2 linked regions of the Mus musculus genome follow. Each later gene encodes a partner of the first gene's protein in a complex. Links are inferred from orthologs where the notes say so. Each region holds a gene or a part of one and is shown in the gene's direction. Other genes may lie near its edges.

What was found. The genes of interacting proteins can lie anywhere in the genome.
Region 2: the proteins of Mad2l1 (region 1) and Mad1l1 are in contact, whole or in part, in a crystal structure (PDB 1GO4), measured with the Homo sapiens proteins. The link is inferred for Mus musculus from reciprocal best matches to the Homo sapiens genes MAD2L1 and MAD1L1. Residues at the interface, in NP_002349.1 of Homo sapiens: Tyr38, Leu61, Tyr64, Asn67, Val68, Trp75, Gln82, Lys83, Ser89, Ile91, Glu92, Ser93, Gly94, Arg99, Gln101, Ser150, Phe151, Asp152, Leu153, Leu154, Ile155, Tyr156, Thr157, Asp158, Lys159, Asp160, Leu161, Val163, Lys166, Trp167; in NP_001013858.1 of Homo sapiens: Glu527, Arg528, Ala530, Leu531, Gln532, Gly533, Asp534, Tyr535, Gln537, Ser538, Arg539, Thr540, Lys541, Val542, Leu543, His544, Met545, Ser546, Leu547, Asn548, Pro549, Thr550, Ala553, Arg554, Leu557.

What each region holds. Positions count from the first base shown.
Region 1 is NC_000072.6:66,533,615-66,538,708, forward strand, and holds the start of Mad2l1 (mitotic spindle assembly checkpoint protein MAD2A), read left to right. Parts: upstream 1-1,606; 5' UTR 1,607-1,912; coding exon 1,913-1,985; intron 1,986-2,343; coding exon 2,344-2,490; intron 2,491-3,954; coding exon 3,955-4,075; intron 4,076-5,094. UniProt on the Homo sapiens protein: Component of the spindle-assembly checkpoint that prevents the onset of anaphase until all chromosomes are properly aligned at the metaphase plate.
Region 2 is NC_000071.6:140,300,625-140,305,047, reverse strand, and holds part of Mad1l1 (mitotic spindle assembly checkpoint protein MAD1), read left to right. Parts: intron 1-1,350; coding exon 1,351-1,475; intron 1,476-2,051; coding exon 2,052-2,133; intron 2,134-4,423. UniProt on the Homo sapiens protein: Component of the spindle-assembly checkpoint that prevents the onset of anaphase until all chromosomes are properly aligned at the metaphase plate.

The sequences.
Region 1 (5,094 bases):
ACCACAACAATAAGGAATCTCATTTGCATTTTTCAAACAAATATGCTATAAAAGGAGACTAAACTAGGGAGTATACATTCTCTAATAAATCTGCCACTAACTAAAAACTGGATCTTGAATTAACTGTGCAACCACTCTAGATCTACTATACTATAATTTGATTAAGTCATTAATGGATTTCTTCAGCCTCAAACTTTATGTGCTTCTAGATTTAGAAAAAAAAAATACTTATTTTAATACCAAGGGGGGGGGTCAATTTCTATTCCTCCCTGTTCAAACATTCTTACCCTAAATAATACACAGCAAGAGTCTACAAAATTGTGAGTCAAAGTAAATATGAGAAACTGAGAATTTTTCAAGTATTTTATAGTATTGCTTTTAATAAATGGGGAGAGAGGTAATGTTAAACCACGCAGTCAAAAGGAAATAGGAAAGAAATCAACCATCAAAGATTCCAGATCTTTTAATGTTTCTGAAATAAATTAGATTAAGTCCAACCACCGTTTGGTAAGAAAGAGCTAGTACCTCACTTTTATCTATACCACCATTTCTTTCCTCCTCATATGTCACAGTTTCTTTCTCTGATGTATTGTTTATACAACTTCCCTGGCATCTGTTTAGTTCAGGCTCTAAACCTTCTTCTTTCTTCTCCTTGTTCTTTCTTCTTCTTCTTCAAAGATTTATTTATTATTATTATTATTATTATTATTATTATTATTATTATATATAAGTACACTGTAGCTGTCTTCAGACACACCAGAAGAGGGCGTCAGATCTCATTACAGATGGTTGTGAGCCACCATGTGATTGCTGGAATTTGAACTCAGGACCTTCGGAACAGCAGTCACTCTTACCCACTGAGCCATCTTCTTAAACCTGCATATGATAGTATCTCTAATAGTCAACTGGTTTCAAAATGCAGTCTGAGTACCAGAGTTAGAACCATTTAGCATAGTTGGAAGATGTGCCATCTCCTGGACACAATACTACTGTACAATATTAAAACTGTAGCATGAATCCCATATGTAATCGTACATGCTCTGGTATAGGCCTTAAACGATCAAAAAGAAAGTACATATGACTAAAAACTTAAAAGCAAGCTAATTGCAAAAAAAAAAAAAAAAAAAAAAAAAAAAAGGAAATCAAGTGTCTCTATCATTTAAATCCTTTGTGGACTTATAAAATCTATGTAGTATAGAAAAATAAAGACATTACTAAATGATTATTAGTGTGTGTGTGTGTACACAATTTGCAGGGGTTCGCTTCTCTACTTGGTGACAAGCATCATTAAGCTTCTGTCCCACCTAGTTCCCTTCATCATATTTAACAAAACCAAAAACCAGGTTCTCCCAGACTTGAAACTATCCTCGAAGCTGAGACCATGCTTCAGGGATGCTCAGACCACGGGTTTGACAGGCAGGTAATCTCAGGACCATCTCTGGGCCGCTTCTAGGTCACCTCATCCGAGGTCCTGCACAGTACGGACCTTGTAGGTCACCAGGACCTGGAACAAGACGCCCCAACCACTCTGCGCTTGCTCATTCGGTCAGCCAGCGAGGGCGGAGCCAGGGCCGGATACAAGTCGCTTTGGGCGGGGCTTTAACCCGTGGTGCAACTGGGCATAGGGCGGAAGAGCCGATGTGGAGCGGAATGTTGAAGAGACCCGGCTCTCTAATGTGGGAGGGGCTTAGGGAACAAAACGGAAGCCTGAGGCGGCCTTAGGGAGGGATTCGGAGTTACAAAGCCAGCCGGAAACTGGCGACGTAGGTGGGGCTTAGGGCTCATTACGCCTGCGCACCGAGCAACCGGCGGGCTGCGTAGTTATTTTTGAACCGGGTGGCGGGGAATAGCTTAGAAGCCATTAGGGCGCCGTCTGCGGTGAGGTTGGTAGTGTTCTCCGTTCGATCTAGTGATGGCACAGCAGCTCGCCCGAGAGCAAGGCATCACCCTGCGTGGGAGCGCAGAAATCGTGGCCGAGTTTTTCTGTGAGTGCTGAGCGCAGCCCCCGCCGCCAGAGAGAGCTGAGGCTGAGCCGGGCCTTAGGACGCGCGCTAGGACGGAACCACGGATCCTCCCGGGGGCGGGGAACGCTGCACCACCCAGCGCAGGCCTGGGCCTCCTGGAACCTAACGGGGCTGACCTGGGTCATCATCTTACTCGCTCTCTGAAAGCTGGGGTCTGTGTTGACATCCTCTGACCACATGCTCTGTATTTACACTTAGCAAACCTGCGAAGTTGGACATTGCTGGGTTAAAGGTTTTCCGTGTCTTTTTGTGCCTACTCTGCTTTCTGGGAGACTTAAACGTTATTACACGGTTACGGCTTTATTTCTTTCGTTTTCAGCATTTGGCATCAACAGCATTTTGTATCAGCGTGGCATTTATCCGTCGGAAACCTTTACTAGAGTGCAGAAATATGGACTCACCTTGCTTACAACTACTGACCCCGAGCTCATAAAGTATCTCAATAATGTGGTGGAACAGCTAAAAGGTAATCACGTTTTCAGTGTGTGATCTTACAGGTTTGTGTCCCAAGTAACTTAAAGCAACATGCCTTCTCAAATGTCATTCTCAACTGGGAGGAAGCAAGCAATGGAGGGAATCCCCACCTCTTTTTAAGTAGGCTGAATGTCTTGATGTTAGGAATCTTTAAGCTGCTTTAAGAGTGGGTTTTGTAGGTTAACCAGTTGCAGCAAATTGGAAATTTTACCCGATTAAAAGGATTTCGCCATTCTGTGTTTTGCTTTGTAGCTCCCAATGAAATCATACAAAATACCAATTCTAAAAGCATTGCAACTGCCTTTTTTTCTCTTTGAGTTTTATTGTACGTGAAAGGGTGTTGTAGTTTGTTTTAATTGTAAATTCATTAACAGTGTTTATTGCTTTTTTTGTTAACTTCAGTATTAAAATGGCCTTTTGGTGGCCACCTGAACATGGTTAGCTTGGCATCTGTCTTTAAGGCCGTTTTGTTTTGCTTTGCTTTTGAGACAGGTCTCTTTATGTAGCTCTGGCTGTCCTTGAACATGCTATGTAGACCCGGCTATCGTTGAACTCACAAAGATCAGCCTGGCTCTACTCCCAAGTTCTGGGACTAAAGGCATTTGCCACTGTGTCCAGTTTAAGGCCAGACTTCTAAACATGCCTTGCTATTTGTATCCATAGTAGAGTATTCATCAACACTTGTGCAGGTTGGATATGAATTCACAGGCAAAAACGGCAGGGCTTTTAAGCATAAGATCTGCTTTGAATTCTGGTATCTGTGGATCCTTTTACCCCCTGCAGCTCACTTACTTGCAAGGATGATAGTTTAGAAACACAAGGCTAATTGGTCACTCTGTCCAAAACACAGTTGTGGCTTTCCTGATTCTTAAAAGTACAGTTTCATTAATTTAACTTGTAAGATTTTATATGACATAGCATCTTGACTTTTCATAATTATGTAATTTATTTACTTTATTGAAAAGAATTTACTTTTCAATTAGTCTGCCCATGTATGCATGTATATACATGTGTGTGTGTGTGTGTGTGTGTGTGTGTGTGCAGGCGTGCATGCATGCCCTTCCCATTTAAAACCTGTATTTGCCTCTCCTTTGTACAGTTAGTGTAAAAACTAATCTTTCCCTCACCTACCAGAGTAGTCCGATTTTTTATGCTCTTATAGTGTCTCTGTTGTGACCAGCCACCACAGATGTGACTGGCGGTGGTTAGATGAGTATATGTCATATGCTCTCACTGGGAATTGCAGAGAAAGTACAGGTTCACGGTTCTGATGCTCTGCCTTCTGCCTATTAGTAATATGGAGAATTTAAAACTCAGCTAAATTATTAGTGGAGAATTGTCTTCCTTATGCAAGAAAGGAAGTTCAATTGTGAGAGTTCTGTAAGGCCGAGAGTGGGTCTTTGGAAGAGAGTCTCTGTCATAGGCTAGAGTCTGAGCGCTGCCTTGTGTGTTGCAGAGTGGCTGTACAAGTGCTCAGTTCAGAAACTGGTGGTGGTCATCTCAAATATTGAAAGTGGTGAAGTCCTTGAAAGATGGCAGTTTGATATTGAGTGTGACAAAACTGCAAAAGAGGAAGGGTAAGTATGAGCTGAGTTATTCCTACCTTAATTTGTTTTTATGTTGTTGCATGAGTTCACATTGTATTGAACTGATTTCTTACAGTTACTGTCTATGGTATGTTTTTAAAGATACTTTTGTTCTTTTGTTAGCTTGTGAGGGATTTCTTTTTTTTTTTTTTTTTTTTTTTTTTGGTATTTCGAGACAGGGTTTCTCTGTATAGCCCTGACTGTCCTGGAACTCACTTTGTAGACCAGGCTGGCCTTGAACTCAGAAATCTGCCTGCCTCTGCCTCCCGAGTGCTAGAATTAAAGGCGTGCTCCGCCTCGCCCAGCTGTGAGGGATTTCTGAGTTCCTCATAGCCTGTCAGGGATTGTGTAGATAAGATACTTTCAGCATACTGCCTTTGGGAAAACCCCATGAGATTAGGCCTTCGTGTTTGTGGTTATACCTGAACCTCTCACAATATAATATATGTGGGCCATGTAATCACTGGCTTAAACGTACAGGAGATGATCCTAGACTCATTCCTAATTTAGATGAAGCTCTACTGTACTTCCCCTATTGCCGTGAACTTTGTAAACTAAAGATTGCAAGCACTCTACATCAGAAATGCCTATCATGCTAAGCATGTGCTTCTGGAAGGTACTGTAATGAAGAGCAGTTTGTTTCTGAAGTCTTCAATCTATAGGAAGTCGTTAGCTTATAAAAACATTTGTATGTAATTTATTTTACCTGATTCAATCAGGAATCCGGTATTTAGATGTTACCTTTAAAAAAAAAAGTCAAAATTTAGGCTGGAGAAATGGCTCAGTGGTTGGGAGCACTGGCTACTTTTCTAGAGGACCCAGGTTCAGTTTCCAGCAGCCACATGGCAGCCCACAACTCTGTTTAACTCCAGTTTCAGGGGATCCCCGGCAACAGGTATGCATGTGGTGCACATAAATGTGCATGTGGGCAAAATACCAAAGTTCTACCAAGTTAATTTGTTGGAATCCATTTTCCTTTATGTTAAAGACTTACTGAAAATATGCTTACT
Region 2 (4,423 bases), on another chromosome or scaffold:
TCTTTCTTTTTTTAGTTTTTTTCTTTCTTTCTGTTTTTCTTTTTTTCGTGTCAGGGATTTATGTAGTTCAGGCTGGCCTCAAACTAGCTATATAGCCAAAGATAATGTTGAGAGACTTTTCTCCCTAGGCTATGTCTGCTCTTCCCCTGTAAGGGACAAAAGACACTCGTGGGGAAGCAGTGAGTTTGTTAGGTTTATGCATGTGAATATAGGTGCTCATGGAAGCTGTGTGCTGGAGGCATTGTGTTCCCCAGAGCTGGCATTACAGACAGGTGTGCCACCCGGTGTGAGTGCTGGGGACTGAATCCGGGTGCTCTGGAAGAGTAGTATGTGCTCTTAACAACTGGGCCCTATCTCTGTTTTCAACTTTTATATATATCTGTTTTCAACATTCATTCATTCATTCATTCATTCATTCATTTATTTAGGATTTTTCGAGACAGGGTTTCTCTGTGTAGCCCTGGTTGTCCTGGAACTCACTCTGTAGACAAGGCTGGCCTCGAACTCAGAAATCCGCCTGCCTCTGCCTCCTGAGTGCTGGGATTAAAGGCGTGCGCCACCATGCCCGGCTATTCATTTATTTTTTAAGCCAAGATCTTACTCTAGAGCGCTGGCCGGCCTTAGACCCATATAGTTCTCCTGCTTCTGCCTCTGAGCGCCAGGATTAGAGATGTGTGCCTTGTGCTTTACCTTCTTTTGAGTTTTTATTTTGAGATAGGTTCTCAGTAAGCTGCTCAGATTGGCTTTGAACCTACTCTGTAGCCTTCATGGCGATTAAACTTTTAACTCACCTGCTTCAGCCTCCCAAGTAGCTGTCTTAACAGGCCTGCTTCACCAGCTGAGCTCTGAAGCTAAGTTCTGATGATGACCTACATCTTGGCCAGGACCTTGCTGTCTTTCCATCCTGGGTTACGTTATGTTGGAATGTTGACATGCAGATGCTATGGAGGCTTGGAGTGTGATGGAGGTCCGAGGTGTGGAAAATGCTGAAGTAGACATGTGGGGTCCAGGATGCTGGATGTGGTACCCTGTATGGAGGCTAATAGACTTTAGAGTATCAGACGTAGCTAGGACCAGCTTCCCTAGAGGCTCTGACCCTCATCTGTGTCAGTGGTGTGGAGCACAAGGCAGGCATTGAGCCGGGATGCTCATGAGAGACAGTGTTGTCTACTCGCCACATGCTTCGAGGACAGGGGGCTCTGTTCTGTCCTGAGCAGCACATGGAGGCACACTGCCCTTCCTTTCTCTTTGGTCTCAGTGAGGGAGAGCTGTGCTTGGGTACTTTTGGTTCATTGTCTGCGTGCAGTTGGGGCCTCACTGAGCAGCCAGTTTTGCTTTCTTAACTTCCAGATGATTAGTTCATTGAAGGGGCGTGTCTCGGAGCTGCAGTTGAGTGCCATGGACCAGAAGGTACAGGTCAAGCGGCTGGAGTCTGAAAAGCAGGAGCTGAAGGAGCAGCTGGAGCTGCAGCAGCGGTGAGAGCCTGACCAGTCGCTAAGACAGTCCAAAGGCTGCATGGAGGACACAGCGAGGCCTCTGGACTTGGGAAGTGTGTGTCAGAATAAGACGGTGACAGCCTCGTTCCCTTCTTCCTGGGACTGGCTTCCACAGAGGGACGAAGCTACGCTAGGTTTTTGAGGGCGTGGGCTGCTGTGCTTGGGCAAGCTGTTCTAGGTCACAGAGGACACAGATATGTGGTAGCTAGTGGGTGGCAGTCAGGAGCCTTTGGATTCTGCCTTGAAGGTCTGGCCCTTACCCTAGGGCAGGCATTGCCTTAGGATTGTACCCTTAGTGTGGGCAGGCCTGGGTGGCCTCTGATGCTTGCTGTGACGCCAGGCTAGCAGACACTGTGGATTGAGTGGTGGATAGAGAACTAGGTCGTGCCACAGGAAGCCTGGGCTCCCTTGTAGCCCCATCAGACAATGTCACAGTCTTAAAGGTTGGCTTAGGACTTGAGGTTCCCTGGATAAGGGGTGTGTGTGTGTGTGTCCAGGCTAGGGGTAAGGTTAAAGTGGCATTATGGACTGACCTTGCATGTACTTCTCTCACAGGAAATGGCAAGAGGCAAATCAGAAGATCCAGGAGCTGCAGGCCAGTCAAGATGAGAGAGCTGAGCATGAGCAGAAGATTAAGGTAGATGCTTCCTGCCAGACTGTGCAGCTTCCTATACCAGGCAGGGGTGGGACAGCCCTCCTGTCACTCACACACCTTCCTGCCTAGACGTGTGCTCAGTGGCATATGAGGATGCATGCTGATTGCCTTGTGGATGCCAGGCCCTGTGCTGGCTCCTTGGAGGCCACAGTGAGTGCTCAAGTGCCCCAGTGATGACGACCCACTAGAAATCCATGGGAAAAGGCTAACACAGAGGACTGCAATCTAGGCTTAGAGAGCCCAGCCACAGAGGCCAAGATGAGACACTATGAGTTTGAGAGCGAGTGCTCCATGAAGTAGAGTTGGGGGTGGAGATCCTGTGCAAGTCTGCACAGCTAAGCATGGCCGAGCGAGATCACCACTCCAGGGCTCTGATTTAAGTTCAGCCTCCTTTATTCTGGTGGGTGTTGCTGGAGAGGTGCCGCCGCCGAGACCTCCCTTCCATGGTTTCCTGTTGCCTTTACTGTGATAGCCAGTCCTGGGAAGGAGACTGTGTCAGTTGTCTCCCTCTCTGTGTGGTGTGAGCACCAAGGCAGTAGGCTCTGCTCCTTGTGCCTCTGGCACTGCTTTACCTGGCTCTGTTGTCTTTTGGACTTATTTGCTTAAAGATCAATTTTTATTTTTATATGTGTGGGTATGGGTGTCTGCAGAGATCAGAAGAGGCCTGGAATTGGAGTTAAGATGCTAGCTGCCTAACCAGATGCTAGGAACTGAATTTGGGTCCTCTGGAAGAGCAGCAAGTATTGTTAGTTGCTGAGCCTTCTCCCTAGGCCCGAGTCCAACCTTCTTACCTCTCACAATTCCCTTGTGCATAGAGGTTGACCAGTTGGTCTTCTCTGTCTCTTTGTTCCCACTACTTGACTCTACCTGGATGGAGCTGGGCTCTATGAAGGGTCCTGATCAATTGTTTTGGTCCTGGTTTTATATATAGCTTGTTCAGTGACTTGTCACTAGGTTCCTGTGCTACCTTGTTGAGAGTCATAGTGACAGGTGCAGTGTAGGTACGCCTGCTGCACAGTGGGAACAGATGCAAGGGTTGCAGGTTCACCACCCACGTGGCAGAAGCTGACCACAGCGGGCCAGAGGGGCCTGTGGCACTGAACCGTTGGGGACCAGAGGGCTGGATGGTGTGTGGCCAGGCACAGGCAAGAGGGACAGTGGTGTGGGTACTGGCTCTTGGGTGCTCCAGTGCTGCTCCAGAGGTGGTGTTGAGGATGCAGCATAGCGGGTTAGCCTTGGAACACTTCCTACACTGTCTGGACTGTGGAGACCATTGAGGTCCTAGGACAAGTTAGAAGACCTTTGCTTTGCTTAAAAAAAGAAAAAAAAAAAAAAGGAAAAAAAAAAGAAAAAAGAAAAAAAGAGGCAGCCGGGCAGTGGTGGCACACACCTTTAATCTCAGCACTTGGGGAGGCAGAGGCATGCAGATTTCTGAGTTCGAGGCCAGCCTGGTCTACAGAGTGGGTTCCAGGATGGCTAGGGCTACACAGAGAAACCCTGTCTCGAAAAACCGAGGGAAAAAAAAAAAAAGAGAGAAGAAAAGAAAAAAAAAAAAGAAAAAAGAAAAGAAAAGAGAAAGGCTTATTTAATTAAAAATTAGGTATATATGTAGGTATGTATGTGTAAGAATGTGTGTGTGAATGCGGGTGTACGGGCATGCCAGAGACGTCATATCCCCTGGGCCTGGAGTTACAGATAGTTGTGAGTTTGACATGTATGCTGGGGGTCAGTGTTGTTCCTTAGGATGTTATCTACTTTTTTCTTTTCTGGACAGGTCTGGTTGGCTTTGTTTTTCATTTAATCTATCTATCTATCTTCCTTCCTTCCTTCCTTCCTTCCTTCCTTCCTTCCTTCCTTCCTTCCTTTATTTATTTCTGCAAGTCGTTCTATGTAGCCCTGGCTGTTCTGGAAATCACTATGTAGACCAGGCTGACCTTGAACTCACAGAGATCCACTTGTCTCTGCCTCCTGAGTGCTGAGATTAAAAGCCTGTGTTACTATACCAGTCTTTAAAAAAAAAAAAAGTGTGTGTGTGTGTGTGTGTGTGTGTGTGTGTGTGTGTGTGTGTGTTAGGAAGCATTGAGGGGATTTAGGGCCTCATACTTTCTTGCATGGCAAGTGATTACTGACCGAGCAGGTTCCCTAGCTTCTGACACCTCCATTTTTTTGTGTCTTCTCTTAAACTGACTGTCATGATCTCCATGTCTGTCTGTCTGCCTTCTCCAGATCATTCCGTGGTTGAAGACCTGCATGTCTTTCAGCCCAGCCTCTC